2 linked regions of the Drosophila melanogaster genome follow. The protein of the gene in region 2 interacts with the protein of the main gene of each other region in a pairwise test. Each region holds a gene or a part of one and is shown on either strand. Other genes may lie near its edges. The genes, in order: stck and ics.

Evidence for each region.
Region 1: the proteins of ics (region 2) and stck interact in a two-hybrid assay, tested with the Drosophila melanogaster proteins (3 studies listed by BioGRID).

What each region holds. Positions count from the first base shown.
Region 1 is NT_033777.3:8,356,207-8,360,489, forward strand, and holds stck (steamer duck), read left to right. Parts: upstream 1-2,121; 5' UTR 2,122-2,175; coding exon 2,176-2,198; intron 2,199-2,264; coding exon 2,265-2,384; intron 2,385-2,442; coding exon 2,443-2,748; intron 2,749-2,802; coding exon 2,803-2,944; intron 2,945-3,000; coding exon 3,001-3,259; intron 3,260-3,323; coding exon 3,324-3,520; 3' UTR 3,521-3,754; downstream 3,755-4,283. Other genes in the region: veneno, read right to left, coding at 3,889-4,040, 4,095-4,283.
Region 2 is NT_033779.5:13,638,902-13,644,770, forward strand, and holds ics (icarus), read right to left. Parts: upstream 3,702-5,869; 5' UTR 3,119-3,701; intron 2,372-3,118; exon of another isoform or gene 2,370-2,371; 5' UTR 2,348-2,369; coding exon 2,209-2,347; intron 1,581-2,208; coding exon 959-1,580; intron 896-958; coding exon 805-895; 3' UTR 546-804; downstream 1-545.

The sequences.
Region 1 (4,283 bases), on a different chromosome or scaffold from region 2:
ACGAGGCGGAAGTTTGCCGCAAACAGACATTCGGGAAAATAATTAAAGCAAACAAATAATGCATTTACATGCATGTTCCGTGGGCACATCAAAATGCTGGCTCTTTGTAGAGAATTTTAAATTATTGGCGATCGGGAATTATATGAAAAAATAACTTACACCTGTAAAACTTTTCTTTTCCTTTTTGTTGCTTAAAAAGAAACTCATTTCATAGTGATTGTGGGTTTCATAGCAAGTTTACAAGCTCTTGATTCTCTTATCAATACATATTTTCTAATGATAAGTATCAGCGAAACTGTTATGACATTTGTGGCATTGAATTCTTTTATAGTTTCCCTGCACATTTATTTATGTATTTCCCCAATTGGCGTGTAACATAGCAAAAAGAAAATCAATCAAATTCAATGCTAAAGGGATTTCTTGCCTGCAGCCTAAATTGGCATGCGAACCGGTCTTGTTTACAAACAAATAGTACGTGAAATTATAAGTAGAGGCAGTAAGCTGATAAGAGCGCGTTACGAAACTGTTTCGAAGAAGAACAGCAGTTGGCCAGCAGCTGATAAGAAGGTGAGACAAAGAAGCAAAAATGCCACGCTGCGATAAGCGTGGCGCCTTAAATCGTAAAGTTCTTTTAACTGATGTATTTCGGTAACATAGGCTAATAGCGAATTTAAATTGGCGCCCAGTAGTATTGGGTGTTTATCGATTGACATTCAGGGCTACCTGCCTCGAGAACAGAAGAGCTATCGATAGGCAGGTTGTACAGGGATTTTTTAGTGATAAAGTAGAGTGGTTTTTTCTGCGTCTTTTTCCACGGAAGCTGTTAGTTAAATGAAAAGTAATTTAATTGCAGCAAACTGTGGCTTTAATTAAAAAGGTTTCTCTGAAGGTAAAAAGTACTTTTTCCGTTGAATGCAATTCTTCAAATGTGAACATGCTTAAGTGAAACGCGTGAAATTCCAGAGATTTGCCCATTTTGGCAATATAGGTGTTGTTGTTTTTGTGCTGCGATAGCGCTGCGCAGATCGTCTTCTTGGCTGAAAATCAACCGGATCTGGCTAGAAGGCCGCCAAGCGAGCAGAGCTTAAAGCCAAAAGACACAGATTGATCATTTCTATATGTTTTTGCAGTGTTTCACTCGCCGTGATCAGAAAACGTTGTACACCAGGTGCAACAGGTGCCGTTGTTCGCAAGTGAAAACCAGTTGAAAGCAACTAAAAAAGAAAAGCCCACAGAATGCCGCCCGTGCAGTAAGCAGAATGTTCCGCCCCACTTTCTTAACGTCCTTGTCTTCAAAACGCCCACATATTGCATCATTTGGCAGCATAATAATCATCGTTATCCATTCGCACAAATAAGCATTTCGCTAATTAATAAAAAAATATAACTAATTCAGGCTAGCAGTGCCTATCATTCATGCCCTAATCCAGCGTTAACCCTCTGCCAGTGATGGTGGTGCTTTGGACCCCCATTCAATGCAATTTTCCTGCCAGATGTTTACTCCATCGATGACGTCATGGTCATATTCAAATTTATTTTTAAACGCCGCCACTCGAGTGTGTGTGTGTGTTTGTGCGAGAGTGCGTGTCTGTGTATTGTTTACTCTTCGTATTTTTGTGTGTATTCGTCGGATTTGATTATGATGAGTGGGCCGCTGTTGTGTTGGCGGCAAACCCAATTCCAATTGGATGCTTGAATTTGTAACCCCTTTTGGAGGCCAAGGAATGTTCAATGACTCAACCAGTAATGGGGAGTTGATAGTTACATCTTATTATATATATTGTTTATATACAAACTTTTCAAATGGCGCTCCTGCTTGTAATAATTACTTCAATTACTCATTATAGCCATTCATTGTTATCCAGCTTAAAGCGAATATGATAGTTCTTCGTATATATTTTATATATGTATATATAACCTGTTCCGAAACGATATATCACCAAGCCATCACATCTGCAGCGTATCACGCTTGATATCCAACTGCCATGCGACACTCTCTGTAATGAAAGCTAAACTTCCACGGAATGCCAGAAAGCTTTTTGGCTGTGCATTCGAAGGAAATATGATTCAGACATCGTCAACAGAGCCGGCAAGCGATAAGTCTCATTGTTTTGTCCAGTTTCTCATTTCACGCCCTGCCCTAAAGTCGTTTTTCTTTGCGCTCAAGCTATAACCATGATGTACTCTAAGGCTGAAGTGTAATGGCCTCTGAATTGGTTAGTTACTTACCAACAACTGATCCTGATCTTCTTCTTAATTCACAGAGTCCAGGCAGCGAACATGTCGCTGGGTGCCATGCATTGTACGCGATGTGCCGACGGCTTCGAGCCGACTGAGAAGATTGTTAACTCCAATGGAGAACTCTGGCACACCCAGTGCTTCGTGTAAGTAAACCTCAATGTAGTTGTTTCACTAATACCCTCACTAATAAACATTTTCTAGATGTGCCCAGTGCTTCCGACCCTTCCAGGATGGGATATTCTACGAGTTCGAGGGCCGTAAGTACTGTGAACGCGACTTTCACGTGCTCTTCGCTCCCTGCTGCAACAAGTGCGGCGAGTTCGTCATCGGACGGGTCATCAAGGCCATGTCAGCTAGCTGGCATCCACAGTGCTTCCGCTGCCAATTGTGCGCCAAGGAGCTGGCTGATTGCGGATTCATCAAGAACCAGAACCGCGCCTTGTGTCACGAGTGCAATGCCAAGGTGAAGGCGGAGATTACCGGCCGCTATGTATGCCAAAAATGCCAGTAGGTTTCAAAGGCTTTAGGTGAAAACATGTTGCTAATTACTCTGCTTTTCAGCGGCCTCATCGACGAGGAGCCTTTGCGATTCCGGGGCGAAGTGTACCACGGCTATCACTTCAGTTGCACGGCCTGCGGCACAGAGTTGGATTCCACTGCTCGGGAGGTCAAGAGCCGGCCAGGATTGGCTGCTAACGATATGGTGGGTTTTTTTTTCTTTAGCAAATAAGAAGCAACTGAATTATTATTCCATTATAGAACGAACTGTATTGTCTGCGTTGTCACGATAAAATGGGCATTCCCATATGTGGTGCCTGTCGTCGTCCGATTGAGGAGAGGGTGGTAACGGCGCTCGGAAAGCACTGGCATGTGGAACATTTCGTGTGCGCCAAGTGCGAGAAACCCTTCTTGGGTCACCGACACTACGAGAAGCGGGGATTGGCCTACTGCGAGACGCACTATCATCAGCTCTTTGGCAACCTGTGCTTCGTCTGCAACCAGGTTATTGGAGGCGATGGTGAGTAACTTAATTGAACTATATTCTGGGTTTATTTAATGCGCTCATTCCATAATGCCAACAGTTTTCACTGCCTTGAACAAGGCCTGGTGTGTGCACCACTTTGCGTGCTCCGTGTGCGACACGAAGATGACACAAAAATCGAAATTCTACGAGTACGACGAGAAGCCGGTGTGCAAAAAGTGCTATGACCGATTTCCAAACGAACTCAGACGACGTCTGCGCACCGCCCACGAGATGACAATGAAAAAGAACACCTAATGCCTTGGAGCGAGTCTCAGATCCACACCAAACAGTGCCTTTGTCGTTGTAGACCCGCTTTCACTACCATTTTTAACATTTGAGAAACTAAAACCAAACAAACTAAAACCTCTTGTGCATGTCCTTTCCGTCTGTTGTAATCCGGTTGTGTGTAACTTAAATTTTAAATCGAGAATCAACGGCATCAATAGCTAGGGAACATAACATTGTGTATTAAAAGCCTTTAACGTTGTTATTTAATGGAATTTTATTTATATATAAATGTTTTTAAAATTATAAAACGTAATGCTTATTCGCAATAACTTCGTAATGTGTTTGACCCGATTTAGTTGTGGTGTCAAGTAAATGGCATTTGATGCACTTAAAATTTACAAGCTCAACAGCTTCTGAATAAGACTTCCCGATTTAATTACGGCTATATGGTTGATATATTTGATACTATCAATATGAACTGACTGATGGACCTTCAAAACCTCAGCCAGATAGGAAACCTGTGCTGCATTCGGGTTGTGCGGGAATTCTATAAAGTGTTTGTTCAAATGTTATGCTCAAGACAAATGTTTAATATCCATACCGTCAATCACGCAAAGGTTTGTGGCACAGGGAGCGGTGAAGTCTAATGGATAGCGACGGATATCCATTTCGGTTATGTCCTCTACATTCGTGTAATCGAGGTACATTACCCGGTACTTTGTCTGCTGCCGTGGAACAACTATAATCTGTTCCACTTTGCCACGATACCAGGAACCCTCAAATCTGGCAA
Region 2 (5,869 bases):
GCTATGGAATTATCTCAATTCGAATTTACAAGACGTTTCCGTGCTATCATTTTGGAGAAATTTACTGAATAAATGAATTTACATTTTTGTTTGTTTTTCTGCCAGACTTTTCGTAAAAGAACATCTTTAACTCTTGTAAATAAACTCTATAAAAAATATATAAATATAAATACTAAAATATACTTTAAGGAATAAATTAAATTTGAATTGCAGATACAGTGAAGGCGAAATACGTTTACAAAATAATTAAATAACATAAATTGATAAAAAAAAAATGTATTCAATTCAAATTGACAAGTGAAAAAATGCAAAGAAACGAAACAAACTCAAAGCGAACAAAGCAGAACTATGCTTTTAGTTTTTCTCAAACATAGAAAACAAAGAACAAAAACAAAAAACATTTAACTATTAATTTAATTAAAATAAATAAAGAATTAATTAATTGACTTTAAGTAAACTAATTAATTATGATTATGAACAAATTTCTTAAAAAAGAAGAATGAATATGAGAAAAGATAATAAAAACAAGAAAAACCTACTATTTTATAAAATATACAAGCGTGTCTTTATTTAACGATTCTTTTGCGCATAGGATCCGAAATTAAACCAGCAGGAATACATATATGCATCTATTATTTTGTTTTATTTTCATTAGTGAAACTAAGGGTCAAGGCACATTGCAGAAATACGCATTAGTTTAAAAGTACTTATAAATTAGTATACGAAAACGGGTTTGGTTAACAACGAACGAGACGAACACATTTGTAATTCCATGGGATCTTGGGATCTTCTGGTGGAGAATCACTATGCGCGAATTCGAGAGGCCTTCTTGCTTTTGTCAGCTTTGGGTGGCGGCGGTCCACTGCGTCCTGCTTGCAAGTGGCGGTTGTAGATGCTGTCAAGGAAAAGGATCAGATGAATATACATTTATGGATATATGGATCTATGGTGCACTCACATCTTATAGGTCTCCGTTTTGAGGTAGTCGATGACGTGACTAATGCCCAGCAGATATTGCTCGGCGATGGGATTGACCCAGGGATTCTCCTCCATCTTCATGACCGACTTGTTGCTCAGTAGGTCCAACTGGGCGATCTCTGGTGGCAGCACCTGCAGCCTATTGTTTTGAATATGTAGCTCCCGCAGTCGCACCAAATCCCCAACTTCGCGGGGCAATTCCAGAAGATCGTTGTCACGCAATCCGAGTATCTGCAGATTCTTCAGCTGACCCACCTCCTTCGGTATATACTCGAAGTCATTGTCGCCCAGATACAGAGCACGCAGTGTCTCCATACCAAAGAAATTACCAGGCAGGACCTGTTCGTTGAGATTGTTGTAGGACAGGTCGAGCACTTCCAGCACCGGAAAGGCTCCAAAGCCGCGAGGAAGATTTATCAGCCGATTGATGGACACATTGAGGATGCGTAGCTTTGGCATGGACGACAGCGAAACGGGCAGTTCGGTCAGCTGGTTGTTCGAGAGGTTCAGGATCTCCAGATTCAGTAGGTTCGCGATTCCCGGACTGATTACGCTGATCTTGTTGTGGGACAGGGTCAAGCGCGTGATGTTGGACATGTTGACTGCAAAAAAAATTATATTAATAAGAATACTAAACTCTTTAAAATACATATTTTTCCTTTTTCGTGATATCAAAGATTGTTTTTCATAATTGTCCAATGCACTGTGAATTCACCACTGGGTTTAAATGCAAACAGCTGATTGCAGGCAACAAGTATAGACGCCGAATGTTGGAGCGGGACAACAATATAAGCAGAGGCATGCGCAATGTTTTTTTTTTCTCAAAAATTTAATGGTTTTAAGATTAATAATTGTAGTATATTCTAATTTTATGTAAATGAAGTCATAGTTATGGAGTTGTAGTACATTTCCCAGATATGTATACACATCTTATTTGCGGTATTTACAGTGTTTGTTTACGTTCTCTACACTCAAACTTATGCATATTTTGCTGCTGGCGTCATCACAATAAATAAAACTAAGCGACTCCATTTAAAAAGATGCTTAGACTCATTTTAAATGAATATTATTACCACAACATAAATACATACGCTAGAATATTATTAATTTACAATTTTTTTAGCAGCTGGGCGAGGCTCCATTCTGCGTGGAAGTAACCCACCATTATGTTTACTCAGAAGTGCAAAAATCCGTATAATTCCTTCAAGATCCTTTGGTTTTGATACTTACACAGTCCGGGCAACTCCTCGAAGGACGACAGCCCCTTGTCGGCCAAATCCAACTCGGGATTGTGAGTTTCTCGGGCTTCATCCAAAACCTTCTTTGCCTTCGACATCTTTGCGCTCACTGGTATACAAGACTGACTCATTTTCGTTGATTCCTAATACGCCCTAAAAAATACCAGAACAAAATATACATTTCTAATTAATTATTTTGAAGGTTAGTCAATAAATTTTTATTTCTAAAAGCAGAATAGTAAAAGAATTTGGCAAACTAATTCTATGCTTTTTTAAATTTTGTAAGCAATTTTTTTGTAATGTGAGCTATTATATCTGTTATATGTATTTCAGGGCTGCCAGACAAGTAGAAATATGTAATTTTACATCGACAGGAAGCAATGTAAGATATTGTAAATGACTTAATCGAATAATAAGTATTGAGCTCATTTATTAAATAATATTTATATTTATATTATTTAAAAAAAAAGATGTTCATTATTCATTTGTATCTACTTATATATGAATGTGAAATCAAAGCTCACCAAACAATTGTTGATAAAAAGGTACCAACATAAATTTTACGCGCGTTCGATGTATGTTATCATATCTACATGTAGAAAGTGTGTTTACTTGTGATTGGTAAAAACTTAATTGTAACGTGTTTTATTTATTGAATTTATAATAACATGCATTCTTTAATAATATTGATATAATTTTGTTTATTTTTACTTTGCTCGATTAATGAAATATTCAAATGTCTTAAAGGACTTAACATTATTATTATGTATTATGTTAAATTATGTATTAATTTATGTATTAAATTAAAATATAAAATATTGTTGTAAAATGTATTTATTTTTATTTTTATATATTTTTCGTGTAGTTGGTCTAAAACTAAGTAATGAACCACAATTACTTACAGAGTAATTCTAAAACTGTTTTGGCAGCCACTTTCAGTAGCTCTCAAACTGCGCCAACTGCACTTTTTGTTAGCATATGTTTTTCTTCGGTCAGTTTTCAGCACTTTTCATCCACATGAAAACGAATTTAAACGTTTTTTAGGTCACTATGTTACACAAACACTGCACTTGACCTATTTTTGTAGGAAAACACCAAGGCTTTTCATACTGTATGCGTAAAATTGTTGAGTATCTGGACGAATTCGTACTGATTTCTGCAGATTATATGGCACTCACGTTACAGAATGGAACATGGGTTCCTATTAGAATACGTCTCCGCTCTTCGAAATTAATCACGAAAATAGACCCAAAGTGCGGAATGCGTCGTGCGTCGTCCGATCGTCTCGAGAAACTGAGAAGATCTCTCGCAGCGTCAGCAAGATCGATCGATGTGGATGTGGGCGAGTTGGAGGTGATGGGGGATCCGAATAATAGCTGGGGGCTGGTTTTTGCCTTTTTCGATTGTCGCCACTGCCGGCAGACAGGAAAAAATAAAAAACAAATCGAACCCAAACTCAATACCGGGTTTTGTTGATTTTGTTTAAAGTATTTCGCTTTTTCTCCAGCATCTTCACTACAGTGTCGAAACCAGTTTGAATTATATCGAAAAGACAAAAAACAGGCATAACTAAAGCATGAAATCTGTGGTTTGTCGACTTGGAAATAGGCGCTTTGTTGATTAGTTAATTACACAGTTGATTAATATCTTAAATGCAGCCATCTCGTTGACGCATATAAGATTTTAATATGATTTATCACATCTCCATGTGAAGTGAGACATCATGACTTTTTTCGCTATATTTTACGTTCTTGCCTTACTTCTGCTGCTCACACCATATACACATGAAAGTAAACTTCGATATATTAGTGAGTAAGGACACGACTTGGGATAGTAAATATAAAGCTAACCGTTGTAATAAGCTTGCAGGCGCAAAAGTGGAAAGTGGGGACGTTGCATTATAAAACAATCGCCATGTCCTGGCATTACCCATTTAAATCGCGTTTGCAATTCGGCAGCCATTTGCTGTGTGCCTGAATCTCAAAAAGTCTGGGACAATATAAGCTATTTTAAGCGCTTAGAACCGAAAGAAAACAATATAGAAACAGTAATAATAAAGTAAGTCTGTTTCTTATTACTTAGCCACTTAAGAATTTTATACCGTTATAAACTGAAAACTGCAGTGCAATAAGAAATGAGCTTAGAGCACATTTAATAAAATATCAATTCAATATAGTCATGTTGGCTTTTACCCTTTTTAATGCATTTTAGTTTAATTTTCTTTTCTTTTTTAATAGTTTTTATTAGAACTGCAAGCTGAGACATTTCTTCAATTTTATCTATTTGATGGATGCTAGATGCAAATTTTGAAGGGACTCAGATTTCTGGGCTGCAAACATGGCCGATATGATCTCCTTCAGTACAAGCTGCTCGGGGTTTTTCTGCTCTGGCCATTGGCTGTATTTTTAATTACTCTGCGGTGCTCCAGTTGCCGATGCAGTTTTGGATCTCAGAAATACGTAGGAACTAGATGTTTGTGTGGGTGGGGGGGCAACCCCGTTTTTTGGCTTTCGTATTAATTTTCATCCCGCCGGTTGTCGAATCCGCAAAACAGAAAGTTTGTCTTATGCGCCTGCATAATTTGCGTGTTGCACATACCATTTTTTTCGCTTTTTTTTTTTTTTTTTTGGGTTGGGGTAGTTGGCATGATGGCGAGTGCCTTTGCCGTATACACTTCCGCCGTATAAAATATGCAAAACAATGCAAACTCTCGCCTGGCCAGCAAACAACAACAACAACAAGAACAACAGCAACAGCAATGGGAGGGAAATAAAAACTTTCCCTGGCCCAAAAATTAATTTTTGTTTTAGATGGCGCGCAGATTTTTCGGCTGCATTTTTGGCTGCACTGCTAATGCTGCGGCACAGTCGCCACCAAACGACCGCCGGCCACTGTCCGTAATTTTTGTTTTAATTAACTTTTTGTTTGCCTTTTTTTCCTGCTGACAAACTTTTGCAGCTCGGCGCAAATTGTGCTAATTTTGAAATGGTGGCCAAAATGTTTGGAAATACATAGTTTATGCTCAGTTCCACTCATATTAATATATGATTGCAATTAAGGCATTGTATTGTATTGTGTAGCAAAATCAAAGCCTGAGAAGTGTCCTTTGTTAGGTAATCGATTCTTTCATAAAATTATATTGAACTTTGCAGTTCGATTTTCTATGTAAAATTCTAACCGCAATAGCGACCAAAAACCATAAATTCTTCATTGCCAAGCTCGCTTAAATTCCAAATTGGACATTTGGCGGCCATAAATTCGCATTAAGTGTTTACTTCGTTTAAATGTTATCCATGCCAATGTGCGAATGTGCGTAGGAGCGGCAAATAATCGATCCGGATTCTAGTTAATTGATGGCACTTGCCTGCCCTCACTAATTTGTGTCCCTTTCTCACGGAATTGAACGACCACAGTTCGAAAGAGTTGTCGGCTGATTGAATAGCTTCAAGTGGGCTTAAAGTGGACCGAATAATTCGATCCGACTGTTGGCAACAGAAATATAACATCCTCTCTTATGGAGCTGTCAGCACACGGACATGGGCGCATACTTTTGGCCGGCAGTGTCCGGCCGTTGGGCGCTTACTATATTCCTGGCAATTTTTCAATGCGCTTTGTTTGGCCAGTTCCAAGGCAACTGGCATAAAGCCCGATAG